Cricetulus griseus: one gene and its partners. The protein of the gene in region 1 interacts with the protein of each later gene in a biochemical or structural test. Links are inferred from orthologs where the notes say so. Each region holds a gene or a part of one and is shown in the gene's direction. Other genes may lie near its edges. The genes, in order: Nrip1, Nr5a1, Ctbp1, Esr1, Rxra and Thra.

The links.
Region 2: the proteins of Nrip1 (region 1) and Nr5a1 form a complex in vitro, tested with the Homo sapiens proteins (2 studies listed by BioGRID). The link is inferred for Cricetulus griseus from reciprocal best matches to the Homo sapiens genes NRIP1 and NR5A1.
Region 3: the proteins of Nrip1 (region 1) and Ctbp1 form a complex in vitro, tested with the Homo sapiens proteins (2 studies listed by BioGRID and IntAct). The link is inferred for Cricetulus griseus from reciprocal best matches to the Homo sapiens genes NRIP1 and CTBP1.
Region 4: the proteins of Nrip1 (region 1) and Esr1 form a complex in vitro, tested with the Homo sapiens proteins (4 studies listed by BioGRID, with this or other methods). The link is inferred for Cricetulus griseus from reciprocal best matches to the Homo sapiens genes NRIP1 and ESR1.
Region 5: the proteins of Nrip1 (region 1) and Rxra form a complex in vitro, tested with the Homo sapiens proteins (2 studies listed by BioGRID). The link is inferred for Cricetulus griseus from reciprocal best matches to the Homo sapiens genes NRIP1 and RXRA.
Region 6: the proteins of Nrip1 (region 1) and Thra form a complex in vitro, tested with the Homo sapiens proteins (4 studies listed by BioGRID). The link is inferred for Cricetulus griseus from reciprocal best matches to the Homo sapiens genes NRIP1 and THRA.

Annotation. Positions count from the first base shown.
Region 1 is NC_048597.1:18,833,577-18,838,555, forward strand, and holds the start of Nrip1 (nuclear receptor-interacting protein 1), read left to right. Parts: upstream 1-1,851; 5' UTR 1,852-1,981; intron 1,982-2,335; exon of another isoform or gene 2,336-2,940; intron 2,941-4,979. UniProt on the Homo sapiens protein: Modulates transcriptional activation by steroid receptors such as NR3C1, NR3C2 and ESR1. Also modulates transcriptional repression by nuclear hormone receptors.
Region 2 is NC_048599.1:149,976,514-149,981,782, reverse strand, and holds the start of Nr5a1 (steroidogenic factor 1), read left to right. Parts: upstream 1-1,918; coding exon 1,919-2,020; intron 2,021-2,123; coding exon 2,124-2,265; intron 2,266-4,365; coding exon 4,366-4,994; intron 4,995-5,269. UniProt on the Homo sapiens protein: Transcriptional activator. Essential for sexual differentiation and formation of the primary steroidogenic tissues. Binds to the Ad4 site found in the promoter region of steroidogenic P450 genes such as CYP11A, CYP11B and CYP21B.
Region 3 is NW_023276807.1:102,316,524-102,321,795, reverse strand, and holds the start of Ctbp1 (C-terminal-binding protein 1), read left to right. Parts: upstream 1-1,732; 5' UTR 1,733-1,922; coding exon 1,923-1,962; intron 1,963-5,272. UniProt on the Homo sapiens protein: Corepressor targeting diverse transcription regulators such as GLIS2 or BCL6. Has dehydrogenase activity. Involved in controlling the equilibrium between tubular and stacked structures in the Golgi complex.
Region 4 is NC_048595.1:282,392,123-282,396,623, forward strand, and holds part of Esr1 (estrogen receptor), read left to right. Parts: intron 1-1,877; coding exon 1,878-2,400; intron 2,401-4,501.
Region 5 is NC_048599.1:139,423,256-139,427,756, forward strand, and holds part of Rxra (retinoic acid receptor RXR-alpha), read left to right. Parts: intron 1-1,637; coding exon 1,638-1,788; intron 1,789-2,406; coding exon 2,407-2,586; intron 2,587-4,501. UniProt on the Homo sapiens protein: Receptor for retinoic acid that acts as a transcription factor.
Region 6 is NC_048600.1:111,824,657-111,829,820, forward strand, and holds the start of Thra (thyroid hormone receptor alpha), read left to right. Parts: upstream 1-1,698; 5' UTR 1,699-1,864; intron 1,865-5,164.

The DNA of each region.
Region 1 (4,979 bases):
TATGCTGTTCATTTAATTGCAGTTATTTGCTTTTTGTCAATCCGAGATAAATGATGCTTTTACTAACGTGCTTTGAGCAGATTTTGAACTGTGGCATACACAAATACTACTCTGTTACATGAGATTTACACTACATTAGATGACAACAGATTGCACAGGTGACTCACTGGGAGAGATAATATGTATCTTAAAATGTACCATCACCACTAGCCAAAATATTCCTGACATGGGTTCAGGACTGTGCTAGGATATCGCTTTATTAAGAATTAATTTGAAAAACTGCTTTCGCTTTCAAGATTGGGAAGGCACTCTAGACCTTGCTCATTTGAAAAATAGCCGGCTGTATAACTATTACATAACAGTAAAGAATACAGTTTGATCACTTAGGTCATCTTTGGTTTCTATGTGCATCAGTAACTGTTTCCAAATGCTACCAAAAATGCATGACAGTAGATACCTTCATCCACAAATTTGTCTTATCCAGTGAGTATTTTAACGCAGCCATACCACTTTACAGTTCAGGGTGAAGTGAAAATGTACTTCAGTTTTTTGTTTTTTTTTTTATGTCAAATAAAACCAACTTTTACAACCACTCTTTTTCCGCTGGTAATTCTTTTCATGGAGAGATACTAAAGTGAAAAGGAAACGTGACATCTGGGTGGGGAGGGGCGTCAGAAGGAGTCTTCACAAGTAATGTTCGCGAGGAGAGGATTTTAAAGCGGAAAACACGAGAGGGCGAGATCATGGTTTCTTATTATTCTCTCCTCCCTCCACTTTTTCGCTTCACCAATCTGTAGCCCCCCTCAAATTTAGAGGCGGGTTCAGCAAGACAAGGCTGCAGGAAACCCAGGTTTCACTGTACTGCCACCCTGGCTTCGTGATGTAATTGTTATTTATTGAGACTCTGAACCGAGCACAGCTGCTTAAAGAGGTGACAGCCCATCTCCTAGTCCTGTTGGGTCAGATCCTTCCTGGGGGTGGTGCAGATGGCCCGACAGACCCTGCTGGAGACTTCGCAGTGACAAAGCAGCTGAAGATAAACCCGGTTCCTGGGTCCTGCGTCCGTCTAGGGAGCTGAGCTGGGCACTCCTCAGGTCTCCTTCCCAGTTTTCCGCTTGGAATCACGCCACATTAATTACTGGGTCCTACTAGGTGCTGTGGGCATGGGGTCAAAATGACCTAGAGTTATAGCGCCGTCCTTCCTGATTTTAAGCGGGACACAGATTTCTAGGAGGTGGAAATTAGGGTGGGTAAAAGGCAGTCAAGAGAACGCGTGCTGTGGGTGAAATGGGAGGAAGGGAGACCCTTAAGGTGCCAGCCCCTAGGTGGAGACCCCAGGGAAGGGTCAGGGTGTCTTTATTCCTCTGCGGTGCTCACAACGCTTGCCCAAGCCTGGGTGACATGGACGATCACCTGGTCCCTAGGGACAATCTGTCCAGGCGGCTGGACGGGGCCGGAAAGCCAGGGCTCCTGCTCGGAGAGCAAGGCACCCCCCTTTCCCGGTCGAACTGTGTCCTCTCTCTACCTTCAAGGCCGCGCAGCCCCGGGTCTCCCACCCGGAGCACCGGAGAGGAGGCCTGCAGGAGCCGGATAGGCTCCCCAGCTCCAGCGAGCCGCCGGGTACGCGATCAACCCGGGTGACAATGGGAGGGAGGGGCAGAAAAGGGTTAAGAAACTTGGCTGAAGAGCTGAATGGCGTGGAGCAGCGAGGGGAGGGACCCGGCCGCCGCGAACTCGGCGGCGGAGGGAGGAGCGCGGCTGCGGCGGGCGGGCGGCGAGCGAGGCGCTCAAAGTCAGCCTCGCAGACATTGCAGCAGAGCCCCGAACTCGGGAGGCGACGGCGATCGCGGTGCAGGCGGAGGACGAGCCGGCCCCAGCCCGCCCGTGCGCACCGCCCGTGGCCTCGCGCGGCCGCAGGGCACGGCTCACCCGGGAAGGAGGGAGCGACGCGGATCGGCGGCCCGGAGCCGAGGCGGCCTCGGTGAGTGGCGATCGCGGCCCGGGCTCGGTGCAGAGCTGGCAGAGCGGACGCCGAGCCACCCGGGCACGGCCTGGGTGACCGGCCCGGGGAGGCGGCGGAGGCCGGGGAGGCCCACGGGGGACGCCGGCCACACGGATCCCGGGGACAGCTTGCCGCCGCGCCCGGCTCCGGGTCTCCCCGGGAACTCGCGGCCGCCCCCCCCCCCCGCGCCGACGCGGCCGCCAAGTTGTAGAGTTCCCAGCCGTGGGATCGTCCGTGCCAGCCGTGGCGCGAGGGGCGCAGCCTCCCTGGGTGTGCTGAGCCGGGACCCACGCGGGTGGCCGGGTGGCGGGGCCCGGGTCGAGCCCGCTCGGCTGCTCCTGTTGGCCCCGAGCCCCGGGCGCTGGCTGCTGCGCCGCTCGGTCCTGCCGCCCAGCGGTGCCCGCGGTGGCGCCCGCGCTGCTCCCCGCCTTTAGTTGGTGCCTCCCTGCGCGGTGCTCGCCGATTCCCGGCAGGGAAAAGTGACTCGGACAGGGACAGCGCTGAGCCCCAGGCCCGGCCTGCTGGGCACCAGGTCCCCGCCTGCCGAGGGAGGGCGAGGCTCCTTGCACCGGAGGCCTCAGCCTAGTTTTTCCCCAGCATCCGAGAGCGGGCTTTGCGTTTAGTGTGAGCCTGCTGAAGTCCTCGGAGACGCTCTTCTCTCTTGTGCCACTCTCCTCCTTACTCCGGTTTGAGGAAACCCTCGTCCGTGGCAACACTCTCCGGACCCCCACCCCCATCCTTCCCAAAGTAGTTTCCAAATTTTAATCAGGAGTTGATGTTCAGACTGAAGGAACAAAGGAATCCACTGTGTTTAAAAGGCGGACAGGCGGTGAGCCTGACACATGTTGATCTCTGAGGCATTCCAGGAGTTTCTACCTTCCATCATGTCAGTAATTTAATTGGATTCTGGCGGTCGTAAACGAAGAACAGAACGTTAGGTAATTTTATGTTAAGATACTTTTTAAAAATTAGTGTGTCATTTTAGTTGGTGGTAAAGTCCCTACGTTCTTAGGTGCAAGAACTTTTAACTCATTTTTGTGACATCAGGCTTGAGTTTGTCTGCTAATGTAAATGATTGTGACACTGAGGGAAAACCGTGTTTTAGAGGAAGAGAGAGACTGTCTCAAAGTAAAACAAGATCGGTGTGCCTGCCTGTCTGTGTCTGTGTACACACCTATACATGCGTAAATGATGTATAGTCTTCGTATTTCCTGGGTTTTGTAAAGCAAGGGGCTTCAGGAATTCATTCTTTAAAGTTATGAATTACATTGAACCTGCTTATTAGTGAATCATAGGTTTTACCAAGTGGGCGGCACCTTCCCGATGCTGTTATTCAATGTTCAGTCACCAGTTTGCCACCTTTGTCTAAGAGACAGTGAAGTAAGTCTACTTTTTAAGCAAACAGTGCTTCATGCGCATGGCCCCTAAATGTGGCTGCTGCCTGGGTGTGTTGAAATGTCCTTTTACTTCCAAGTGACTTAGTTGCCCTGGTTTTGCCCAGCAGTTTGGTAATGACCATAGGGTTTAATTGACTCAGGGAGCCTGGCTTCAACACCAATAGGAACTTTCTAGGCTTGGTCTTACTTAGTTCCTATAGACAAAGGAGAAGCAGTAACATAGCAGGCACTACTGCTTAGTCTAGGACTGGATACTTACTCCAGGCCACTTTGTACTCCGGTGGGGAGATTTCTTTGCAAAGTTAGCCTGCAAAGTACAGGAGGAGCTTGAGGAAAACAGGTAAGAAGTAAATAAGGAGGGCAGTTAGTTCGGTGGCTGCCTTTACACAGATGAGAGTCCCTGTGCTGCCTTTGAGACCGTGGAACATCAGGTTTAAAACCCATGAGAAGCTTGAGAACCTGTGTTTTCCAAACTTTGTTAAACTTGTACTTTTCTAATTGAGCTATCCGGAAATATTGTGAGTTAGCAGTGGAGAAGTGTTTGTGGCTGAGGCTAGGGCTGCTCTGGGTCCTCCAGTTTTAAGAGCAAAACATTGTGATAAAAAATAACCTATACCACCACCTAGAGTCTGCTTGTTAGTTTATGGCTCCTGGAGTTTGCTTACATCCATCCCCAGGTCCCTTATGGTTGCTGCATGGTCCAAACATGATTTGAGAAGTTGAGGCTTCCTAAAGGCTGTCCAAAAGAACAATTACTTAAGTCATAAACAGCAAGGGCCAATTTAAATTATCCACGCCACCTTCAGAATAGAAAATTATGACATATCAACTCAAGTGGGCTGGCCTCCAAAAGATATTAATTCAGAAATGTAAGGCAGAGCCTTCTAAGCGTGAGCTTTAGGGGTGGCTGTGACTGCTAAAAGATTTTCTGTTTTCAGAGATTCAAGAAATATTACGAAATAAGTGTTCTCAGTACCTTTTGTGGTTCTAGGGAAACAAAAGCAATGATTAAAAAATATAGAGGGAGGAGTATTGCCACTACAAAATTCTAGACACTGAAAAGGTCAGAGAGAATGTAGACAGTAGTTGAATTGGGGTTCAACTATGTGAGAATCAGGCCATGTGAAACAGAGTGATTATCTGTCCTGCTGGTGGTGGCTATGCAAGAGAGCAGTCTGTTGAACAGGACACCTTAGGGAGGCAGCCTCTGCCATGTGGCGCAGCACATTGTCCAAGGAGGAAGTAATGCTCCTCCTTGTAACGTGTAGCCTAAAAGATGGCCTCCAAGATCTTTAATTAAATATCAGTTGAACAGAGAGAACTAGAGCACTGGATTAATTCTGTCAAACATCACTATTTTAGAACATCGAGGACAACTGAAAATGAATTAACTCATATCTGAAAGCAGAGTTTTATCGAAGGTGACAGATGAGGCAAAATATGTCAGTCTAATGGAACACATGGGGAGATGAGGATAGATCTGCCATCCTCGGCTCTCTAGACAGTTGAGAGCAAAGCAGGCTATTATTAATTGTGTAGATTTCATCGCCAAGCCAGTATAGAAGATCATGGCCTGGAAA
Region 2 (5,269 bases), on another chromosome or scaffold:
GGGAGACTCGCGGAAATGGGGTTCCCCCTCGAACTCTCGCTGGCCACTCCACCGCATGGCTCGTCCATCCTCAGCCACCCTCTGGGAGCACCCGACTTCGGATTAAGAAACAGGGCGGGCACGGGTGCTTGCAGTCTGAATAGGCAAATGTGACAGTGTCAATTCGAAAGCTTAGTTTCTACCTTGGCCTCGTGCCTTACGCACACCCCCACGCTCTTTCTTAGCCACTTCCACACTGCAAAACGTCCAGAGTTCCCACCTTGGTCCTGGCCACCCTAAACTGGACTGCCAAACGGGAGCTCGCTTTCTCCCTGCGCAGGCGATGGCCAGAAGCTTCCCTGTACACGACACCTGACCGAATTCCAGGGTGCTCAGAGTCCCCAATTCTCTTGGAGCTCGTGGGCTTCGGAGAACCGAGCTGGGGCCAGAGAGCCGGGAGGTGAGGGTGAAGGCCAAGCGGGGCTGTGGGGAGGACGCGGCCCGCGCCTCCGCCCCCGGATACCGCACGCGCACTTATAGAGCGGCCGCCCCGGCCCCGCGCGGCGGGTTCGCGCAGCGCGCAGTGCGGCGGAGGGGCCCGGGTCCCAGGTGCGCTTCGAGCGGCCCAGCGGGCGGCGGGCGCGGGGAGGCGGGGGCAGAGCGGGACGGTCTCCCCGCCCCCGGCCCAAGTGGCCGTCATCGCAGGCGGGAGGCGCTGCGCCCCTGTGCGGCTTCATCGCGGGCAGCGGCGCGGCCCAAAGGTGCGGGGCGCTGCTCGCGGGAGTGGCCTGACTGGGCGCCGACGTCGTACTGCTCTCGCGTCCCGGGCCGTGGCTCTCGGGATCTGGACTCTCCGCCTGAGGTCTCCCGCAGCCTGCACCCCAGCCTCTATAGCCCGCACCGTCTCCGCCCGAGGTCTCCGCCCCGCGCCCATCACCCCGTTGCGCCCTCCACACCTGCTCCCGGCCCGACGTCCCGGGCTCGCCGGTGGGTGCCGTCGCTGCGTGGCTTTGTCTGCGGACCCAGCCGCAGGGCGACAGGGCTCTCTGCCTCTCCGGGTCGGCCTCTGTCCCTCCACGGGGCCACGCCTCGGAGCTCGCTGCCCGCACCGCCGCCCGCCGAGAGTCTGTCTCCCAGTCCCTGACCCTCTCGCTGGGCACCTCCGTCTCTCCAGGTTATCCTCCTTGTCTTTGTCACTCTGGAGGCCTCGATCTCCCCAGGATGTCTCTCGTTGTTCGGTGTCTCTCCCTATGTCTCTGACTCTGTGTCTCACGGCTTTTCTCGTTGGGCCTGTCACTCGGAACCTCTGATCCTCTCTCTTTCGTTACCCAGCACTGATCGTTCATCTATTTACTATCTACTGATCCTTATCTGTCCATCATCGATCTCACCTATCATTTATCTATCGTCTATCTACATAATCTATCATCTATCAGTATCTACCTACCTATCTACCTATCGGCCAACCATCTATGAATCTCTCCGCAATGTCTCTAGCTCGGCATTCCTCTCTCCGTCGCCCGGGACCCCCCTCTCCGTTGTGCAGCACAGGCTGGGGTCTCTCTAGACTTGTCTCTGCCTCAGCTCTGTCAGGCCCCCAGATCACTCCAGCTGCGCGACCCACATCTCCCTGGTTGTCTGGCGTCGGTCTTCCCGCGCCCGAACCTATCTGATTTTCTCAGAATCGGGGTTTTGTTCTCAGACAAACGAATCAGGATGGAAATGCATCGAATCCGAGGGTCCCGGATCCGGCGCGGCAGAGGCGGCATGGAAGCGGGGCTGGAGCGCGGCGGGTGGTTGAGCTGCTGCTCTGGGATGGCAAACCCCGCACCCGGTTGATGCTGTGGGCTGTCCCTGGAGCACAGACCATGGCAACCCAGGCCAGTCGCCGTCGGCCCGCGCTGATCCGCTCCTCCTTCCACAGGCGGACGCTGCGGGCATGGACTATTCGTATGACGAGGACCTGGACGAGCTGTGTCCGGTGTGTGGTGACAAGGTGTCGGGCTACCACTACGGGCTGCTCACGTGCGAGAGTTGCAAGGTGAGCACGAAACGGAGCAGGGAAAAACTAGGCTGCGGGTGGTAGGGGTGCTAGCGGCAAACGAGGGTCGGGGACCTGGCATTCACTCCCTCCTCTAACACAGGGTTTCTTCAAGCGCACAGTCCAGAACAACAAGCATTACACGTGCACCGAGAGTCAGAGCTGCAAAATCGACAAGACGCAGCGTAAGCGCTGTCCCTTCTGCCGCTTCCAGAAGTGTCTGACCGTGGGCATGCGCCTGGAAGGTGCGAGTCCTGCACACCTGGGACCCCTGACTGCTGCCCCCCAGAGAGCCGTGGGCGGGCCTGGGAGAGGGGCTGAGGGGAAAGGCACAGTTTCTGGATCCAGGTGATTGGCCCCTCTGCGTGATGTTGGGGCCCCAGCTCTGCAGGGAACAGAGGCAACTAGGGAGGCAAGTGCCAGAAGAGACCTTGCAGGCAGGGCCTGCCTGTGTTCGGTTCCGAAGTATCAAAAGTGGGTTAGGGTTAGGGCCATGCCTGCAATCCCAGGACTCAGGAGACTGAGGCAAGTTGATTATGGGCTGCACACTGAGACTCCGCACTCCCTTCCTCCAGGGGTTAAGCCTTTCTCCTGGACAGAGCAGAACCCCAATAGATGGAGGAACTTCCACCCGTCCCTATATATCCCCACACCAGCCAGAGCCAAAGCTCTCAATAACTTGATCATGTTCAAATCCCAGCCTCTTCCCTTGTAGGATGGGGACATTGAGCAAATAAATAATTTAACCCCTCTGAGCTGCAGATACCCCCATCTAAATAATGAGCTAAAAAGTAATGTTTGCCCTGTGTTGGTGGGGGGACTGGGGGCTTACAAAAAGCCGGAGTTGCTTGCTGTGAGGGCAAATGCGCAGCAGAGTATCTGTGATTGTCATCATCATCACACATTCTGCTGCTATTTGTTCATCACTGTCCACCCTGTGCAGCTATCTGTCCAGGTATCTAAGTTTTGCAGGAATTGAGATCCTTTCCCATGCATTTTTAGCTCAGCTCTGAGAAGGTTGGGGTGAGGGGAACAGTGGCTTATAGTCTCCTCTCTCCTATCCCTGTTCTGGTCCAGAGAGGACAGCATTGGCCCATCAGGAGAGACTCAGACTCAGTGGACAGTCATAGTGTCTACCCCGCTGGCCCCAGTCGGGCTGAGCGCCCAGTCAGCAGCTGTCAGCTAAAGTTTTTGCAGAGAAGGCCCCAAAGGCTGGGAGAGCTGTTGACATATCCTGCTATCTAGAGAAGGACTCAGATTGAAGGAGGTACCCTGTCCTGTACCTGGGGCCCTCATCCCTAGCTCCAGGTCCACAGAGGACAGAGAGCTATCCATTGTGGGTGGCAGAAGCCTCTGGAGCAGCCTGAGGGAGCAAAGTAAGTTGGCCACCTCCCAGGAGGAAGATCTGTGCCGGGCAGGCTCCCAAGCTCTTAGTTCTCTGAAACACCACCCCTCTCTCCAGCTCTCCCTTTCCTCAGAGCTTGGGTGGGGTCCTGTCTGAGCAGGGGTTGGATCCACACTCGAGCTGCAGAGATGCACCTGTTAAGTCTGGCTGGTGACACATTCTTGGCCAGAAGAAAAACATCTGGTCAGCAAAATAGGTCCCTTCCTCCAGCACTAAACCAGGCTCCACAGTAGAAGGCAGTGGGGGAAGCCCCAGTCATCTTACAACAGGAGCTTAGTAGAATCAAGAAGTCTGCAACAAGTAGCTGGCACCCTCACCCCCCACTGTGAGCAAAGCAAACTAGGGGCCCTTTTCTCTCACCATTTCCCTGTGAGGTCCTCGGCTGGGCACCTAAGCCTGAGCTGAACCCCAGGTGCTTCCAGTCTGAGGTATACTATGGGGCAGGTCAGGGGGTTCTGCCTGGGACAATCCTTGGACTTCCTGGAGGTGGCAACACTGTGACTGGGCTACGCAATGAGAAAGAAAATGTGAGAGGAAGAAAAGGGATCCAGGCAGAAGGCAAGGTGGGTGAGGAGGTGTATTAAGTGGAGGAACGAAAGGGTAAGTAGGGAGGAGGGGAAGAAGATGGGGTCACTAGAAGGTGGAGAAAAGCCTGGAGTGCCAAGCTAAGGCTATGGCTCTCACCTATGGACTGAGCAGGCCATTGCATGGAGGTGGAGGAATGGTGTTTGTGTGTGTGAGAGAGAGAGAGAGAGAGAGAGAGAGAGAGAGAGAGAGACAGAGACAGAGACAGAGACAGACACACACAGAGAGAGAGACACACACACACACACAGAAAGAGAGACAGAGACAGAGACAGAGACAGAGACTCATCTTTTTGGAAAAGATCTGTGAGAGGTAACTAGGAGGGTGGACCCTGACTGACTTTTCCTGCCCACAGCTGTGCGTGCTGACCGAATGAGGGGTGGCCGGAACAAGTTTGGACCCATGTACAAGAGAGACCGGGCCTTGAAGCAGCAGAAGAAAGCACAGATTCGTGCCAATGGCTTCAAGCTGGAGACTGGACCCCCAATGGGGGTGCCCCCGCCACCCCCTCCCCCACCGGACTATATGCTACCCCCTAGCCTGCATGTACCTGAGCCCAAGGCCCTGGTCTCTGGCCCACCCACTGGGCCGCTGGGTGACTTTGGAGCCCCAGCTCTGCCCATGGCTATGCCTGGTACCCATGGGCCTCTGGCTGGCTACCTTTATCCTGCCTTCTCTAACCGCACCATCAAGTCTGAGTACCCAGAACCCTATGCCAGCCCCCCTCAGCAGTCAGGGCCACCCTACAGCTATCCAGAGCCTTTCTCAGGAGGGCCCAATGTACCAGAGCTCATACTGCAGCTGCTGCAGCTAGAGCCAGAGGAGGACCAGGTGCGTGCCCGAATAGTGGGCTGCCTGCAGGATCCAGCCAAAAGCCGCTCGGACCAGCCAGCCCCCTTCAGCCTCCTCTGCAGGATGGCAGATCAGACCTTTATCTCCATTGTGGACTGGGCGCGAAGGTGCATGGTGTTCAAGGAGCTGGAGGTAGGTATCCCCCCAAATCCCGGGGCCCCCTGACTCTAGTCATTCCTCTTGGCTGTCCAGCATCACCGTGTGTATATGCATTCCTGCCCAATGGCTTCAGGCAGTGTCTGGGGGAGGTACTACTACAGTCAGCAATGGTACTTCCGAGCGATTGCAGCTTCCTGATATCCACTGCCCTCTCCCCATCCCTCTCCTGTCTCTTCAGTCCATCTCTCTTGTGTCCCCTCCCTGGCTAGTGTGCTCTCAGTACCTCCTTGTTCCTCCAAGACTTTTGC
Region 3 (5,272 bases), on another chromosome or scaffold:
CTGGTGGACAGGGTAGTGCCTTGGGAACCGTCTGTCTCTCCATAGGTCTCTTTGGTTGAGTACAGAGTGTCCTCTAGCCTCAGCAGACAGATGTGATTTCATTAAGCTGAGGAAGAGCCATGTTAGCATGCTCATTCCTTGGATGCAAACCTAGTGCTTTCAAGTAAGGGAAGAGCTGGGGGTTCCTCTGGTCTTGTCCTCCCAGGAAGAGGACTGCTTTGCCAGAGGGTGGACAGCTGAGAGAGGCAGGCAGGATGGGTCCATTTACCAGGTACCCAGGCCACTCTGTGGCCTGGGGTGGAGACAGTCAAGACAAGGGTGAACATCACACTCTCTCACTGGCTAGCTGGCACCAGGATGATGACTCAGGCTTTCAGGTTTTGAGCAGCTGGGCAGAGCGGAGTGGAGTGCAGGGTGAGTGAGGCCCAACAGACACCAGATCCTCTCTCAGAAGCAGGTGGTGCAGGTGCCTCTGGGCAATCATAAAGTCAGGTCTCTCTTAGGATGGGTGTGTTCAGACCCTGTCCATTTCCATATCCCTACCCAGCAGCTCTCCACTTCAAATACTCAGGAGTCGACTCCTGCCGGCAAGGGGCTATTTCTGGAGTAGGAGGATGACAGCCCGGTAGTCCTACAGCAGGCACAAGGGTCCAAGTCAACGTGATGGGGACAAGAAACCTGGGCTTCCTCTAGCGCAATGGGAGGCCCTAACGGGTTTCAAACAAGCCCTGATACAGTCTCCCGATGTGGTGGCCCTGGTCGCACTGTGCAAGAAAAATGAGAATTGGGTAGACTGAAATGGGAGGTGTCAGGCTGCCATGGAGTTGCCATGCTAGGATGGAAGAACTGGGAGGAGCCCTTTGGACGATCTCTAGGGAGTTACCTGCTGCCTGAGAAAACTGGAACGGAGCGGGAGAGGCAGTCCAGAGGCAGTTCCGGATGGGGGTGAGGGCTAAGGGGAGGTGTATGTCTGCTGGTCTTACCCCAGCCCTTAGTCTGTTTAGGAAGTACCGTAGCAGGTTTGAAACTCCACCTGTTAGATCCTTTTCTCTATCCATGCCAGCTAATGGATCGAATTGGAAGGTATTTTCAAAGCATTTGCTCTGTAAACAGACGCCCAGACCCTTGTCATCAGTCACTCGATCTGCCCACTTTTCTCAAGATTTGATTTTCACAGCATGTAGGTAACAAAATGGCCTTCAGCACCCTCCAGTTTGGGCTGTTTTCGTGAAAAAATTTTTTTTTTGAACCGCTAAGTGGTATCACTTGCCACGCCTGCCTGACAGTTCCAGAAACAGCCAGCCTCCCACTCAGATCACCTTCCCAGGCTAGGGCGCTGTCCAGCTCCTGGGTCCTGGGTCCGCGGCCCCGGCTCCGGCCGTGCTCAGGCCGGGTGCGCCCCTCTCGCTATCCGCTCGAGGCCGCGGCGACCAGCCCGGTAGCGCCCCACGCGGATGGGCTGCTCCACCACGCGGGCTCCGGCCCGGGTCACCGCGCCAAGGAGTGGCAGAGGCGCAGTCCCGGGTACGCGCAGGGGAGGGGAGGGGAGGGGCGGCCCGGGGCGGGAACATCTGGGGGCGTGTCCAGGAAGAGGATCCAGCCTGGGAGGGGCGCGAGTGGTGGGGGCCGAGCGCCGGGCCGGCGGGCAGCGCGGCCCCTGAGCCGCCCGCGTACGTCCAGCGTGCCGCCTTGCCGGCAAACAGCAGACCAACCGAGGCCCCGCCCGCGCGCGCGCGCGCGTGTCCCCGCCCGCTCGTCGGTCGGAGCGCGGCTGGCGGCGCGCGGTGGCGGCTCGGCACGCGGCGGCCGGGCGCAGGCGGCCGGGCGGAGCAGCAGACTGCGCCGAAGCCGCCCCAGGCGTAGGCCTCGCGGCGGCGGAGACCGCCACACTCATCGGGCGCCGCGGCCACCCGCGCCTTTCAATGGGCAGCTCGCACTTGCTCAACAAGGGCCTGCCGCTCGGTAAGGCCGCCGCGCGCGCGCATTTCCGGCTGCGGCGGGGGGCGGGGGGGGCGGCCGGGCGCGCGCGGCGCTGGCTTTGTGTGCGAGTGCGCGTGCGCGCTCGGTGAGCGCGCCGGGGTTGGGGGGGGCCGGTGCGGCCACAGGGCGGGGCGCATGCGCGAACTGCTGCACATGAGTGCGCGTCCCTATTTTCCCCTACCCGCTCGCGACCCGTGCAGGTGACAAAGAGGCCTGTGGTGCTTCGACCCAGGCTGTGACCGAGCTGGGCCCGTCTTCTTGGCCTATGGCCCCACGAGGCTCCTTCCCGTGGCCATCCGGGCGGGACCTAGGTGTTCCCGGAGTGACGAGCCTGCGAATCCCGCCTGGGCCTCGGGTTGGCGGATCCGGGAGCAGTTCTCTAGAGGTGGCATTGAGGGAACATGGGTGGCATACACGCCCATCACGCCTCCAGGCGACTTAGTGATGCTCAGCTTGGCCCCTGGCCTTGGACCATTTAAGTTTTTTATTCATTTGTGAAAGTCCTTAAACCGCAGGAGTCCTGCTGGTGGAGGGCAGTCTTGGCGGCGTTCGCTGGCTGCGTAGCCTGGCGCACGCGCAGTGGGACCGACCCCACCTTCGGGCGGGGCGGCCCAGAGGTTGCAGAGCCCAGAGGAGCTTTTGCCCACCGTCCTAGCGCCCCATGGTGTCCCCCTCTCTGTCTCTTCTACCTTAATAATAAAAGGGCCTGCCTGAACCCATCTCTGCCCTCACAAGGACACTCACTGCCGTCTTCCTCATAGCCTGAAAGATCCTTGCAGTGTGTGCTGCCAGCAGGAAATACGGAACTGTGGGCACGAGGGAAGGAGGGAGGCGCCCTGTGATGGCCTACTGCGCCTCTTATCACACAAGGCCGTTTCGCAGAGTCTGTCAGCCTGTTTCAGGGTGTGGCAGGGTATGGGCCTCCAGGCCTGCCCTGCATTCTGGGCCGGTGGTAGGTACCCCTCCCCCAAGACTGCACTATTTCAGAGCTGTAACTCCCTGAAGGCATTCTATATATTGTGTGTGTGTTTGTGGGAAGCTACTCTGCACCCAAACCATCAGGGTTATAGGCCAGAATTTCATGTGGGGTAGGGAAGGCAGGCCCAGCTCATTGATTTTCAGAGATAAGGAGGACCGCCTGCATCTTGGCCTTGCCTGTCAAACCTTTCCAGGCCCAGGGCCATCACCCTTGTTCTGATGAGTTTGTGATTGGTTAGGACAAATAAGCTTTCTAGGAAGGAAAAGGGAAGGAGTTTTCTAGTATTCAGGAAGGTGAACCCTGTGAGCCAGGGTGTCAGCAAGATGACACCAAGATTTTCCCTCACTGTTTCTGCTTTGTCATTTCCAGAGTCAGAGAGCATTTGTTCATTATAAACAGGAGTGTACAGGAGCCCACCCCACTGTAGTTGGCATGCAGGACACTAGGCCCACTGCTATAGAATGGAGCCAACATCTTTGAGTCCTGGGGCAGCATGATCTTTGGAAGAACGGTGGCTATGGCCATGAATATGATCCTGGGCTCATGTGTGATCTCTCTGTGTTTCATCCACAACATGGGGTAAATAGCTGTGGGATGTGCCAAGTTCAGGGACAGCTTTGTGGGTATGTGGGGTGATACTGTTCTCCGGAACTGTGTGTGCTTCCTTGTCTTGTTACTATTTAGACTGGCAGCTGTGGTTTGAGGCTGCCCTTTCTCCACTCTGGAGCTTGGTCAGGCATGGCTCTGGTATGTGTGTCAGCCAGCTTCCAGGATGTTTGAGGCTACCATGTCATGTTAGTTGTGCATAATGTAGACTGGAGCCTGTAGATTCTTGGTGGGACCTCAGTGACACACTGCTCTTCCTCTGGTCTCTTACTTTTCTTCTATCACCTGTGGGCCTGTCGTTGGGTTTCAGCAGTGTGCTTAGCCTCTCCAGCTGGGCCTTGGGCTCAGAGAGGTCCAGTGTTCCCCTCAGGGTTTCAGGTAGGATCAGGTCCTTGCCCCCCAGCTTCCAGCAGCTTACTGTTTCCTGCCTGCCTTTTGAACTAAAGTGGTGCCTGTCCTGCCCTGTAACCTGGCCAGAGGCTTCTGTGACCATTCATCCTCAGACCTAGGTACTGCTGAGGACCCTCTTGGAGTAGAACCTGCATGTTACCTGGTGGCCCTGTGGTTCCTGGGCAAGATGTGTGAAGCAGAAATAAATGCCCCGAGGTCTTTGTTGCATGGCAACACCTTTACACCAGCTCTCATTCTGCTGGTGGCAGGAAAGGGTTTGGCCTGCATGGTGCTGGGCAGGGTGGCCTGCCTCCAAGCCCTGGGATGTAAGCTGGTATAAGAGAAGTATTAGTTTATATTGCGTTGGTTTTGTAGTTCAGCCATGTCACTTGAAAGTCTGCCAGCACCAGGGTCTGCACTCTGTATCCTCACAGTCACTGTAATGGTGACTCTGTGAGTTCTGCAGGGTAGACATGTTCAGCCTCCTGAGTCTTTCAGCATTCCTGCAGCAGCTGCAGCACCCTGCCCTCAGGTACTGAGGACCATGATCACAAACATGCACCATCTTTCCCAGAGCCCAGGCTGCGTACTGTGGGGTGACATCTTTAGAAGATATGCTCATTTCCTATAAAATTAAAACTTTTAGTATACTCTTTTGTCAACCTTGCTTGACTTAGCTGCTGTGATGTCCTAGGTCTTTGCGTGTCCTCCAGTCAGCATCAGACCTGTGTTATATAGGCAGTGTAGGAGCTTGAAGACTTTGGGGGACAGGGTTAAATTGGCCTGGGTGGCTCAAGGAAAAATCTAGCAGGCTTGGGATGATGTTGTATGGGCCAGGGGTGTGGGATTTATAGCTCACAGGGAGGCATAGATAGTGGAGACCCAGATTTGTAACCCTCCCTAGGCATCACTGTCCATTCTTTTAGTTCTGTGTGGTGCTCTTCCTGCCATTGTCTCCAGTGGAGATACACACAGGGCTGCTTTGTCTAGAGACAAGTCTCCAGTGAAGCTTTCTGTAAGTCGCATGACCTCTATGTCCTCTACAAGACCAAGCCTCCCTACAGCATTGGAAGATGTCCTACTAAGAAGGGCAGGGAGGGGGGCAGCCCCTAAAAAACTGGAATATCACGCACAGCCTGTGCTCTTCCAGTGAGGATAGTGTTCCCAGATGGCTTTGAAATGGACAGGTGTTCTCAGGTGTCAAGACCTGAGGCATCTGTTGTAACATACACAGGCAGGCAGACACACAAAGTTGACCAACATTACTGAAATTGAGTCTTGGTGGCAAATGCATGCCCTGTATCATAGTTTCCATTC
Region 4 (4,501 bases), on another chromosome or scaffold:
TATCCTAGTCGGAGAAGAGGCTGTGCTATTTTTCTATCGGGGGAATCTGTGCGGCTCCTCTTTTCCCCTTTCTGGACTTGTAGGCTTCTTTGTGCCATTTATATATAATTTGGCTGGGTGAGATTTTCAAAGAGCCCCACGAAGTGCTTGCTTTTGCATGTGTTTTAAAAAGGCATTTGAAAATTGAAAGTGTGATTTACGAAAACTAAATCATCTGTGATAACATTGCTCTAGAAAGTAATGGTTGCTGGCCATAAAGAGAAATATCTGCGATTCACCTAATGTGTTTTTAACCCTTTCTCTGCTGTCACCCTGACTTATGGACTTTAAACTCAACTTTGTCTTTGGATTTAAATCAGCTTGGCTGTGTAGCATCCAAAACGATCTGTTTTTTCCCCCTAAGAATTAGATGAACTGTGTACGCAGCAGAAAATATTTTCAAAGTGTTACTATTAGTCACAGCAACCTTGACATTTGCATGTACCAGGTATTCTTTGGGGGCATATGGAATAGCAATCAAAGTCAAAGGTTAATGGTTATTTTAGGGGACATTAGGTTGGGACAGAGGAAGTTTATTTAAAAAGTATAAGCTTATGTCTTTTGTTACAGTAGCAGGTGTGTGTGTGTTTGTGTGTGTGTGTGTGTGTGTGTGTGTGTGTGTGTGTGTGCAATCAGATTTTAATTCAATACGGTAGGATGCTGAAGGGCATGGGGAGCCTCTCAAAAGTCTCTGGCTAGACAGAAAGGATTATCTAGTTAATTGCCAGAGCCTTGGTTAAGGACCCCAGGCGATATTTTATAGGAAAATGTCTCATTCCACGTTCAGTTTTTCTCAAGTTTTGGTTGCATAACCTGTGGAAGGCAGGGACACCCATGTGTGCCCAACTGAAGGTTTTTCTGAATCATATCCGCATGAGAATTTTAAAAGGAAGCAAATTGGTACTGGGGTCCAACAAAAACAGAAAAGCAATGGCTGTGCTGGACAGGACCCCTTGGGGAGCGTTTTTGTTTTTTTTGTTTTTTGTTTTTTTCTCGCCAGATGTGGAAGCTGAAGGCTGGCAGGTTTTTCTTGACTTGAAGCGCAGATCTTTCTATACATGCTCCATCTCCGCTCTCCTGGCCCTAGATGCCTCCTATCTGTGTCCACCAATGCTAAATATAGCTATCTGTGGCTGGCTGCATATGCAACCACACACCCCATTCTATTTGCCATAGCTCAGTTACAGATACAGTCACGGTCCTCCCAGGGCCATTCTATGCATACACTACGTACTTCCAGCCAACAAGAAGACCAAATCAAACAGAAAGAGAGACAAACAGAGACAGATTGGAGCCTGGCACCAGCACACAGGCAACACATCAGAAAAAAAAAAAAAAAAAAAAAAAAAAGCGCGGCCTGTGGCTTAGTCTGCATTTGTTGCAAACCTAGTCTTCCTGGGGATGGGGGTGGGGGGGCACGGTTGCTGGAGATTCCTCTGCTACCCCACACCCCCTGCAGCGAAATCCAGCCGCGAAGACCAGGAAAGTAAAGTTCAGGGAAGCGGTTCTTTGGGTACGCGCGCGCGGTGTAATGTTTCCATCGTTGTCTGAAAGCGGCAGCCCCCGGTTGGCGGCTTCCAGCAGGTTTGCAATGTGCAAAGAGCAGGGAAGACCAGTATGTAAAGTTGAAGAACCCGGGAGCGGCGGGGTGCGCTCCCTGGAGTTGGGTCACCTGGGCTCTACAGGATCCTCTGCCCCCTGGCAGGGGCAGGGCCAGGGCCAGGGCCAGGGCCAGGGCCAGGGCCAGGCCAGGGCCAGGGCCAGGGCCAGGGCCAACGCTCGCACCGAGGGGACCTGCCCTGCGTCGCCTCTAACAGCCGGCTCTGCTCTTTTTCCAGGTGGCCCGTCCGCTGCTGAGCCCTCTGCGTGCGCGGAGAGCCTGTCTGCGCCTCGCCTGCCGCCACTGACCATGACCATGACCCTCCACACCAAAGCCTCGGGAATGGCCTTGCTGCACCAGATCCAAGGGAACGAGCTGGAGCCCCTCAACCGCCCGCAGCTCAAGATGCCCCTGGAGAGGGCCCTGGGCGAGGTGTACGTGGACAGCAGCAAGCCCGCCGTGTTCAACTACCCCGAGGGCGCCGCCTACGAGTTCAACGCCGCCGCCGCCTCGGCGCCGGTCTACGGCCAGTCGGGCATCGCCTATGGCCCTGGGTCCGAGGCGGCCGCCTTCGGTTCCAACAGCCTAGGGGCTTTCCCCCAGCTCAACAGCGTGTCGCCCAGCCCGCTGATGCTACTACACCCGCCGCCGCCGCAGTTGTCGCCCTTCTTGCACCCGCACGGCCAGCAGGTGCCCTACTACCTGGAGAATGAGTCTAGCGCCTATGCCGTGCGCGACACCGGCCCTCCAGCCTTCTACAGGTACCCGCACCACGTCGGGTTGGCCGCTGTGCCAGGTCTGGCCCGGGGAGGGAGCGCGAGAGGGGGGAACCTCACTGGCCACATATCGCCCCCTCCCACCCCTCGGGGAAGTCAGGAAGGTTTCTTCCCGCCTTCGCTCCATTCTCAGCTTAAAAACAACAACAATAACAACAGCGACAACAATATTCTCGAACCGCAGTTGTCTGTGGGAGAGGCAGATTCAAAAGGCCCGTGTTTCCTAACTACACAACCATGGGAAAACAATCCAGAGAAGTTATTTATGGGGAGAACATCCCAGAGCGAGTAACCCCAGGTGGCCCAGGTGGTTTGTGCAAGGGTCCCCTTTATTATTTAAAGATGGGGGTGTTTGGGGCTAGGGGAGCTCAGGGGGCATTGATTAGTCATTATTTCGGTGTGTCGGGTTCAGTGTGGTTTCATCTAGAGTTTTGAAATGGAAACATGCAAGGTAAACGGGAGAAGATGGGGTTTTAGGTGGAGGTGCCTATGGGTCTCTCTCCCTGCCTTCCCCATTCCAGGCTTCTGGATTGGTTGCTCAGAAGAGCTGATATGGGAGTGGAATGGGTCTCAACAAGTTTTGATTTCTGGCTGAGTTGAGTTAGAGCACATTGCTGGCATATGACTTCTGACAGCTGGGAATTTATAGGTGTCCCATGTGTTTAGAACATACCACATAGAAGCAACAGTGCAGTAACCCCCTGTAACTAAGTTTCATGTCTGACCCAGCCAGCAGAGAATTCTGGAGTGGCATGCTGCTGGTTAGCTCCATCCTGCCCCGCAGGCAGGCGCTGTGTAAGAAGCCAGGGCAGTCCAGGACACGGGGTAATCCAGGACAGACTCTCGGTGACCTAAGTGACTCTTGTTTTGTGTCCTCGGTTTTAGTTTCTCCTAAGAGATTATTATTATATTATTATTAATTATTTTATTATTTGATGTCCCTTTCCTCTCATTTCTTCTTTGTCCTCCTGGGCCTGCAGAAAGCTTAGGTGGGTGGTTCTGGTAAACACCTACCTGTAGAGTTGCCTAGGGGACAGTAATACACGGCCAGGTACAAAGTTATCTGATGCCCACATGCTGCTGAAGCAAAGCTAGCCCACTGTAGGCTGGCTCCCGGCAATTGGCTCCTGCTTCTGCCAAGACCTTCTGTGTTACAAGCCGTGGACCGTTTTTTGCTCAGTGTTCTGTTTCCAGATGTATTTATAGCGGGAGAAACGGGACCAAGGTGCAGACTGGCCCCAGAGGATACTGAAGGGTGATTTCTCGGTGTATACAAGCTCACCTTCAGGAACCAAAGCGTCAGATATTGAAGTGGGTCCAGGCCCAGTTTTCACATTCAGAACAAACAGTGAACAAAAGTTTTAAAAAGTTGCTGGGTTCAAATTAATCTGACATGCTTTAATTCAGGGTTGAGATGGAAGAGGAAAGTAATTTATTCTCTCAACTACTTTTTTTTTTTTTCTGCTCTAAGCCCGAGGAACAAAATATAGCCATTAAGTCTAATTCATACTTTTAAAATTCCTTGATGTTAAGGACAGTATTGGTAAAATGTGAATCCTGTAACCTTGTGATGGAGTCCCGAAAGTATTTTTTTCCATTTAATTTTCAGTTCTTTTATTGCAAATTAATGCCACTGAATTTCAATGGGGACTAATGAGGCTGCTCCTTGGCGGGTTATTTACTGCCTTGCTAATAATTACAAAGTGAGCCTGAGAAAATAAAGAGGGATCACATTTTATTCAATATGGCCCATCATCTCTGTGGCAAAGAATCTCACCATAAAATACCCCATCTTAAACTTGTGCTCCAAGAAATATTCAGATATTTTTCAAAACAAAAGCAAAAAAAAAAAAACCTACAAGGGATTCTTAAAGGTAAAAAAACAAAACAAAACAAAACAACAACAACAAAAAACAAAGTACACAGGTAGAATTCTGGGTGGAAATTTAGTTTTAGAATGATTTTCTTATTTGGCTCAGTTTCTATAACACTTTTGCTGTTTTGTTTGAATTTTGCCTCTTATTACTTAGGGGGAAAGGAAGTAAGTGTCTATGCAAGTGTTTCAAATGGGTGTTTTATGATAGTT
Region 5 (4,501 bases), on another chromosome or scaffold:
ACTGAAATAAATGCCAAGGATATGAAAGGGGAAATGGGATGGCCCCCACCCAATCCAGGGAAGCTCTGGGCTCCAGCAGAGGGCTGTCCAGTCCTGGGTCTCTTGAGAGATGTGTAGGAAGCACACAAGTCGGGTGAATGGGGGTTATGGTCCATGCGGGAGGTTGAGGGAGGGAAGGATAGATGGAGACTGCCCTAGTCCATCAGCTCACATCTGGGAAGAGATTCCAGGATTGTCTGCTAGTGGAGTTCTGAGGAACCTTGTGGGTATCTGTGGACCTGTGGTGAGGTAGGGTGCTACAGCCCAGCCTTTGCTCTGCCCTGGCATCAGGGCTTCACTGGACCTGAGCTGATGATGCTGCCCAGAGCTAAGACATCCAGGAACCTCAGGGTTAGGCTCCCTATATAGTGAGCAGAATGGAGGGTGTGTGCAGTCTTCCTAGCAAAAGCCAGTGGTGTCTCCCTGCTACCCCAGGATCCCCACATAGGATCTTCATCCAGTTAGCATATGAACTGCTCTCCTCTGCAGTAGGATGTCCTGCTTGCCACCAAGGACTCTCATGTCCTGACAACCCCCTGACACAGCTCTGTGGGCCTCCAGGCTTCCCAGCAGCCCCCTTCAGCTGGCCAGAATAAGGCATCCGTGCAGAGCCTCCCTGCCAGCCTCACAACCCTGGCCAGCTAGGGCTGCCGAGTCATTCTGAGTGCTAGCCCCCTGATGGAGAGAGAGCTTCTGGTGCTTCTGCGCTATTCCTGTCCCGTGAGAAAGGGGGATGGGGTAGGAGGCCCTGAGGAAGGAGGTGAGCTTCCCCATGCAGGGGGGCAGCAGGGGCTATGCAAGGGCAGTGCAACCATACAGCTGGCTTTTTGCCTTTGTCAGGGGTTTTCAGAAGTGGGGGGACTGCCCAGCTGGGCTCTGGCGCCCTGGCAGATAGGCAGGCAGAGGGAAGTGCCTCTGGACTGTGTGCTTACTGCAGAGCTGGGTTGGAGGCTGCGGAACTAAAACTGCTGTGTCATTGCGACGCTGCAGCTGTTGCCTGGGTGACAGGGTGAGTTTCCCACGCTTGCCCCTGGCGGCCAGCGGGCGGGGCGAGGCAAGGGGTGTGCTGAGGCCAAGATGGCCATACTGGCCCTATGGCTTGATGTGTGGGGCGTTCACTTGCTCTCCTGTCTTGTCCTGCCCCAGATTCCTCTGTCATGCAGGGTGGTGGGGATATGTGTGGCTCTGAAGGAGCCCAGTCCAATCTCCTCCCCGAGCCTGGGCCTCTTGTTCTCACCTGGGCGGTGGAGGAGCCCAGAGCACCTGTGCTCTCATGTGTCCAGGACCCATGGCAGGTGTTAAGTGACGGAGGTAGCTCTTTGGTGGGTGGTGGAGTGGGCCTCCTGTATGATACTCAGAGACATGGGATCCCTGGCTATGTGTGGTCTCTGGTACCTTGCAGTGACCTGGGTTTTCTGGGAGGAACTCTGAGGGCTGGACATAGAGCTGACCCCTGTTCTAAAGATGATGGTCCTGCTGTCCCTTAGCCATGTGTCCTGAGTTAGGCTCTGTAGAGTGGAGTTGTAGGAAGCCCAGCACTCATTGATGCCTGTCACCAGCCTCCCAAGGCTGACCTATCCTGACTCATCCTCTTGCAGCTCAACTCACCCATGAACCCAGTGAGCAGCAGTGAGGACATCAAGCCCCCACTGGGCCTCAATGGAGTCCTCAAGGTTCCTGCCCACCCCTCAGGAAATATGGCATCCTTCACCAAGCACATCTGTGCTATCTGTGGGGACCGCTCCTCAGGTAGGACTGCCTGGTAGGCAGGAGCACCATACCTAGACAAAGCACACAGGGCCTCTCTAGATTTTTCCATTGGGCTGGGTTCAGGGAGGCAGGAACCCAGGGGTGCCTCCCGTGCCTGTAGAGCAAGGGGTGGGCTGAGAGCTCCAGGTGCCTTGTTTTATCCTCAGGTAAGGTGGGCACTAGGATGGGAAGGGTGGTTTGGAGGCATGCCAAGAGAAGATGCAGGCATGGATGGCTGAGGTGCAATGATAGCTAGCCTCCTGTCTGGGCCAAGCCTGTTGAAGGGCCCCCCTGCATTGTGCTACTGAACCCCAGTAGCCTAAGAGCCAAGAACAGTGTGTCTATACTCTTCTAGAACACAATAGCTCAGGCACAGAGAGCACAACATCATCAGTGTTGGTATGCTGGTCCTTAGGGGGTGGTGACCCCTAATCCCTGCAGATAGAGAGAAGGTGGATGGACCTGGTCTCTGATTTGTGCAGGGAGGACCAGGCAGGGTCTAGCCTGAGCCTAGACAGGGGTTCTGAAACCTGAAGGCAGAGCCCCAGCATGCAGCATGACACATGGGTGAGGATCTTGTCAATATAGCTCACCCATCCCTCTGTCCACACCCTACAGGCAAGCACTATGGAGTGTACAGTTGTGAGGGATGCAAGGGTTTCTTCAAGAGGACAGTACGTAAAGACCTGACCTACACCTGCCGTGACAACAAGGACTGCCTGATCGACAAGAGGCAGAGAAACCGGTGTCAGTACTGCCGTTACCAGAAGTGCCTGGCCATGGGCATGAAGCGGGAAGGTAGGCCTTGAATACCCACCTCCTGCCCAGCACACTTTTCTCATCAGAACCAGGAGGCCTCCATTGTCCTCTTCCCCAGCATTGTTAGAGTAGAGGGATTTGAGCAGAGTCTAGGCCTGAATTTGGCAGACTCTGGTATAGCCTGGCTGGTTCCTTTGTGTGTCTTCAGGGACAGGGTGCTCCCTCTCCTCAGTGCTCAGTGGAGCTCCTGGCCTGTGCTATTGAGACTGCTGTCTGTATAGCTTGTATGTTGAGGGACTGCCTTCTTGCCAGCCCTTCCCCCAACCAGATTTTCATCTAGTGCTTGCTGTGTAGCTGGGCCTTGGGGTTTTAGAATAGAAAAGACAGAGCAGGACCATCCTACTAGCAGCTTGACCCCAAAGACAGGAGCTGAGTACACAGTCCCCTCTTGAGGTGTGGCAGGGCTGAGCCAGCACATGACTGGGAGAGCACTGGGCTGAAAGCATGGCAGAGGCAGAAGTAGGAGGAAGGAAGGTGGGCAAGAGAGAGGGTATCCACAGGGTCGTCTCTGACTTCCTGTCTCTCCATCTGCCTAGTGAGGGGATGATCAGGAGAGCCCATGGTATGAGGCACATTTGGGTTGGAGTGGTGGAGGGGGACCTCTAGAGACCGCCAAAATATCCCCCCAGAGCCTGTTGAATGTTAGGGTCATCTTGGGCTCCCCTTCTTCTCAAGGCTACTTCCAGTTTCATCCCTGGTAGGGTCACCTGCTAATCCACAGGCCCTCTGAGCAATGGGACTCTGAGCCTGTTTTATTAGCAAGATATATATGTATGGGTTAGGGAGGCTGTGTAACAGACCAGGAAACTCCCCAGAGGTGCCAGATGTCAAGGTGTGTCACTAGACCCTTAGGTTCCCCAGCTGCATTGTCTCCTCCTAGCCCTGCATTTGGAAAGTATTCCTTGGTTGGGAGGGAGATAGATAGATAGATAGATAGATAGATAGATAGATAGATAGAGGGAGATAGATAGATAGATAGATAGATAGATAGAGGGAGATAGATAGATAGATAGATAGATAGATAGAGGGAGATAGATAGATAGATAGAAGATAGATAGATAGATAGATAGATAGAAGATAGATAGATAGTGTGTGTGGGGGGGGGTGTGGGTGCCTGGGTGAGGTTCTTCCATCAGTCTTAGGCCTGGGCCTCATAGGGCTGGGCACTCTCTGAAGGTCTTCTACTCTCACTCCAGCATTGCCCCTCCAGCTTCCTCTGCCTGGGTTGTGCATGGGGCCAATCCAATGGCTATTGTGTGTCCTTCCACTTTGTTCCCAGCTCTTTAATTGCCCCTGTCTAGGACCAGCCTGAGGAGGGCAGTGCTGGGATTTGCTTTTCTCTTCACATTGTCCTTCTTTCAGTATATTCTGGTCTTCTTGTTCATGAGAAGCCCTATGCTCCTGTGGGATTCTTTCATGCTATGAGGTCAGCAGGGGGTGCAGGGAGTAGCTGCACCTCATTCCCAGTGCTGGTGGTGGGGCAGCATATACAGAACTGTGTGCTATGGGTCTGGAATGTGTGTGTGAGTGTCCCTAGCCTGGCCATTCTGACTGGCACATGTTTCATACAGAGTATAATGTTCTTTTAAGTATGACCTTGACTAGGAGATTTCCAATGGCCATTAGGGGCTAAGTCTTAATACATTTGTCTAGCTGAGCTAGACCCCAGCTTCTGCCCCCCCCCCATTTTTCTGTAGTGAGAGGGCAAATGGAGGGAGTGTCCTGCCAAGGGTGGGGTACACTGTTTCATCCTTGGGGTACCACATGCCCTCAGGGAGCACTTAGGGGAATAGCCAGTACACCAGCACATCCTCTAGAGGACAGGTGCTTGAGTGGATAGACTTGGGGTGAGAGCCGTGGCCAGCTGTGTGCCTGGCCAGAAGGTGGAAGTGGG
Region 6 (5,164 bases), on another chromosome or scaffold:
GTCCACAGGGAGCCGGGACTGAACAGATTCATTGACTGCATGCTGACTCTGCACACTGCAGCCTCAGTCCCCTACTGCAGCTGCCACTGTACAGTGCAGGCTTCCTTCAGCCTGTGTGTGTGTGTGTGTGTGTGTGTGTGTGTGTGTGTGTGTGTGTGTCATCACCAATAACTGTTACCTTCCACTTTACTCTTCCTCATCCCAGTTTTCCTTCTCTTCCCTTTTGTCTCAGGAGCCCCAAGAGAGGCATCCTTCCTTCCCCACAAGCATTGCAAACCCTTAAAATCCCTTGTAAGAGAAGTGGCTCCGTGGTTCAGGGTGTAGGTGGCTGAGACTAAGATGAGCAAGGGCAGCCCAACTTGGATAGACTGTTGGTCAGCATCCCACTCAGCAAACGATTCTATCCAGTATAAACTGAACGGTTAGAAGAGCAGCTCCCCTGACACACTCACTGGCTCCTCCCCAAGAGCAAGCTGGGGAGGCAGGGCTCCGCCCTGGCAGCCGTGGGAAGGCTATGGCCCCCGCTGGTAAAACTGGGCTAATGACAGCGGGGGAACCGGCGGGGCCAGAGGGGGGTGCTAGGGTAATTAGACCTCTGCCTGGCGGTAGTAGATCCCGAGATGAAAGGGGCTATGGCGTCACTGACAGGGTTTTATGTCCATGAATGCAAAGGGGTGTGCGTGTGTGCGCGCGCGCGCGCGCGCGCGCGTGTGTGTGTGTGTGTGTGTGTGTGTGTGTGTGTGTGTGTTTGGTGCACGTGCGTGCGCGTGCGCGCGCAGGGGTCCGGAACTAGCATGGAGACCTCTCCTTTGAGAAAATGAGTCCATCTATTTGCAGCCACTCTGCTCCTTAGGTTGGCCCTGGAACCATTTGGATTTTGATGGTGCAAACATGAGAGGAGATCGTACCTCAGTGAAACTGGGAGCCGAGGGACAGTAGAGAGTCTTGCCCACCCCCCTCCCCAAGCTTAGCACGGGCTGTATATTGTTGGGGAATGGCTGGTGGGCACTGAATAGAAAGAGCCTCTATGGAGAAAAGAAACGTTTGCAGGAGGAGGCAGTGGATCCAGCATTAATGTTAGAAATGAGAAAGGAGGCATGAAAATGAAAAATGAGACTCCAAAACGGTTAGAAAATAAAATGGTTGAAGTTAGGAGGATTTCAGAAGTTACCTGCCCAACACTTGGATTTTAAGCTCTAACTAACCCTGGCAGCTGTAATTTGTTCAAGGTCACACAGAGAGTTGCTTGGAGAGAAGGGACCCGAACTATGAAACAAACCTATCGTTTGGTATCTGGGCTTTCTCCCGGATTTATAAGGTGCAGAGAACTCCCCGAAACTTCCCCTCTACCTCAGGGTGCAAACCAGAAAACCCCCAATTCTCCCAGCGAGTAAAAAGCTATTAAAAAAAAATGACATCTTGCTCAAAATGTGTCACAGAGCCTCCTCGCTCCTCGACGGAGCCTCAGGGGTGAAGTGGGCGAGTCCGAGCCTAGTAGAGGCCAAGGCGAACGAGGGGCTGCGGGGCGACCAGCCGGGGTCCCGGGGCGCGGCGCGGGCCGAGGGGCGGGGGCCGACGGCTGCGAGGCGGCCTGCAGGGAGCAGCCGCGAGCCGGCCGGGCGCGCGGAGCCGGAGCCCCAGCCGGAGCGGGGCGGGGGAGGGAGGAGCCTGAGCGGCCGCCGCCTCTGCCGGAGGAGCGCCGGGGCCGCCACACTCGCCCCCCGCCCCCCGCGCTCACTCGCACTCACACCCCGGCGCTGGAGGCGGGCGGCCCGGGCCCAACCGGCCCCCCATGGACGCCCCCAGCACGGGGCGCTGAGACCCCCGCGTCGTTGCCCAACTCGGTTCAGCGCGCCAAGCCAAGGTAAGGAGGAGGGAGCGAGGGGGCATTAATATGCAAATGCATCGCGATTGATTATGCAAAGCCGCGGGTCTCTGGCCAGCTCGGAGGCGGGCTGGGGGCGGCCAGGGGGTTCCCGTCGCCGACCTGTGCCTTTCCGGGCGCCCGGGTGACCCTGTCACAGCCCGAGAGCGAGCCACTGACGCCCTGGGAAAGGGAGGTGCTGTTAAGTGGTCGGTGGGCCCCGGGGTTCGCTCGCGGAGATGGCGTCTGGGCCTCCCCTTCGAGGGCCCGCCCGGCCTCTGTCCGGCCGGTCTGCTGCGCATTCCCGGGTTGGGCCCCGCTGCCTGCCGAGGCTCCCCCGCCCGCCGCGCCGCGGTTTGTTTACGGTGTGCCAGAAGCCTGTCGTGCCCCCCCAACCCTCCCCCCTCCGCCAAAGAGGGCGAATGGCCTTTGCAAAGCCGCCTCCAGCTACGGAGGGCAATGTGGGTGCGGCAGGGTGGGGGGGGGCCTTGCATGGGCTGGGGGAGAGTGAAGTCCCCCTCCCCTCCCTGCTTTCCCAGTTGAGCATGGCTTTCTGGTTGCAACACTCCTAATTGCAAAAACGCGGCGGGTGGGGTGGGGGGAATGTGAGCCTGTAGTAGTGGGGGTGTACTAGTGGATGGTCCCTGGATGATTAGGAGAATTGCTGGCCTGTGGTGGGGAAGAGAGGAAGCAATGGACCCGTGTTTGTGTGAGTGTGTGTGTGAGTGTGTGTGTGTGTGTGTGTGCTCCCCTGTTTCCCTCCCTTTGCAACGTGTCTCCGGTGGCCCTTTTCTGTCTAGGGCCCTCCCTTGTCCAGTGTGAAAGGAAGGCCTGGGAAGATGTCAAAGGCAATGGAGAGAGCCACCCATTTCGGGGACCAGGGGTGGGGGGGTACACAGAAGGAAAGCCGGGGAGATGGGAGCCTGCCCCTGAATGCTGGCTCTGGACCCAGGAGGGGGAGGGGATGAAGGGGGCCATTGTCCAAGATGAAGGGGGAGGCAAAGGTGACATGCAGACACAGATATGCCCACACAGACAGCCACACGAACACTCAGGGACACCCAGGCAGATTCAAGGACAGGAGCTGCTGGACACACCCACATGGGGACAAGGGAAGAGGCAGACTGCTGCTGCATGGTGGAGCTCAAAGGGGTTGGACACACCCACGGGAGACCAAGAGCAGAGAGACAGCCTGTGCACATACCCACGCACAGGGTCACAGGGAGATGCTGTCACACACAGGGGCAAGGAAGAGTCGCTGTCACTATCACATGCATGCATGCATGCATGCACACACAGCAGTTGCACACAGCCGCACAATTACAAAAGACCCTGTCACTCACAAGCACACACGAGCTCACATGTGCCCAGTCATGCAGTCATCATTGCTTGCCATGACAGTCACTGCCACTCAGTCAAACAAAAAACACAGCTACACATCAACACATGTGTACTCAACTTAGCAACAAGTATTTTCCTGGGTTCATCTGTGGAGCTGAGGTTCTATGGACAACAAAACCTTTGCTACCGAGAAAATCAAATTCATCTGTATAAAAAGACTTTTCTGCATATTGGTGCACAGGATGCATTCCTGATAATATAGTCTGTTACTGTTGGTTGTCATACCACCCAGTTACTAGATGGCAATCTCCTTGAGACATGGGAGAACCTCTAGAAGAACCCTGGATCCCACCCAGAGCCTAGCACAGTGTGTGCTCTGTAAACACTTGTTAATTGATTGACTGTAGGAACTCCAGGCACAGGTGCACTCCTTTACACCTAGTCTCACAGGTGCAGGGGCCATGCACAGGGCTCCCGAGTGCAGTCACAGGTCCCACCTGGCAGTGTCCAGATAACCCTTGCAGATAGACACATTGTAGCTAGGGCAGGAACGCACTTAAATGCACACAGCCACAGACTATTCCCTCTGGCTTCTTTCTATCTTCTAGGCTCAGCCACTGTGTAGCAATGGGCTCTCCCCCCCCCCTTTTAGAGGGACAGAGAAACAAGAGCAAAGTGGGTACAAAGGGGGTTCCAGAGGGCCGAGTCATGGGCCTGCAGCAATGTCCAGTGACTTCTAGCAGCTGGGATTGTCCTGGTTGCTGGGGGAGGGGTGTCTGGGGAAGAGTTGGGAGTGGCTCTCTGGCTCTCTCTCATCCCTAGCCTATAAGCCAGTGGGGACCTGGCTGCCCCTGCTAGGGTTTATTTGGCTGGGCCTTTCCTGGGGACCCTTAGTTGTCCCCAGCTGAGTGCTTGCCTCCCACTGTGAATCTGCCCCCTTTCTCACCTCTGGCCCTCTTGTCCAAACTTGGAAGCTTTCCTTGGGAGGCCGTATGCTGGCTGGCGAATGTCTGTGTGAGTGAGGTGTATTTTTGACTTGGAATTTCTCTCTAACTCTGTCTGTCTTTCTGTTGCTGTCTTGGGGTGTCTGACTCTCTCTCCTTGTGTCTCTGCCAGTCTGTAACTCTCTCTCTCTCTTGCCCTGTGCTTGTCTTCATTTCTGCCACGGTCTCTTTTCTCAGAGCTGGCAGCAACATTCTTCATACTTTTCCAGTTGTTAATGCTCAAATTCGGGCCCTTTGGCCCGCCCAGCCTGCTTCTGGGGTCAGCAGGAGGTTGGGGGGGTGGGGGGGTGCTCAGCTGGCTGCTCAGGACATCCTGCCTTTCCTTAATGCTGCAGCTGCGGCTGGCCAGCATGTTTTGGGGGCTGGGGATGGGGAAAGGGAGGGGAGTAGACTCCCCTGTTGACCCCTGAATCTGGCAGGCCCACAGGGAACACCAGTTCAGTGGGAGCACTTTAGGCTCAGGCTACAACTCTTTAAGGAGGTGGTGAGGAGGCTCCTCCCCTAACTGACCCAGGCGGGAAAACCATGCTCCCCCCTCCCACACACACACACACCTTGTGCAGTGACAGGAGTTGGCAGGACCCAGTTGGGTCTGCATTAGGACTCATGATGGCCTTTCTTCACACCCCTGGCAGCTGAGACCTACCTCAGAGATGTCCCCGACAGCTGTGTCTTCCTTGCCCAACTTCATGCTTGGTTCTGAGGGTACAGCTGTTTAGACTATGACAGTTTTGGGCGGGTTGTACCCATACATGAGGACAGAAAGAGTGGCTCTTTGAACAGGGGCTACTGGCACAGGAGACCCAAAGCCTGGGGGAGGGCAGTGGCACCAGCATGCCGAGCTCTGCTTCCTGTAGCCTTGGTCTGTTTGGATGAGAACATACTAGTAATGATTCCATCATAGAATATGTATGGACTTCAACAGAAAGATAAACTGAGGTTTATCACAAGGCAT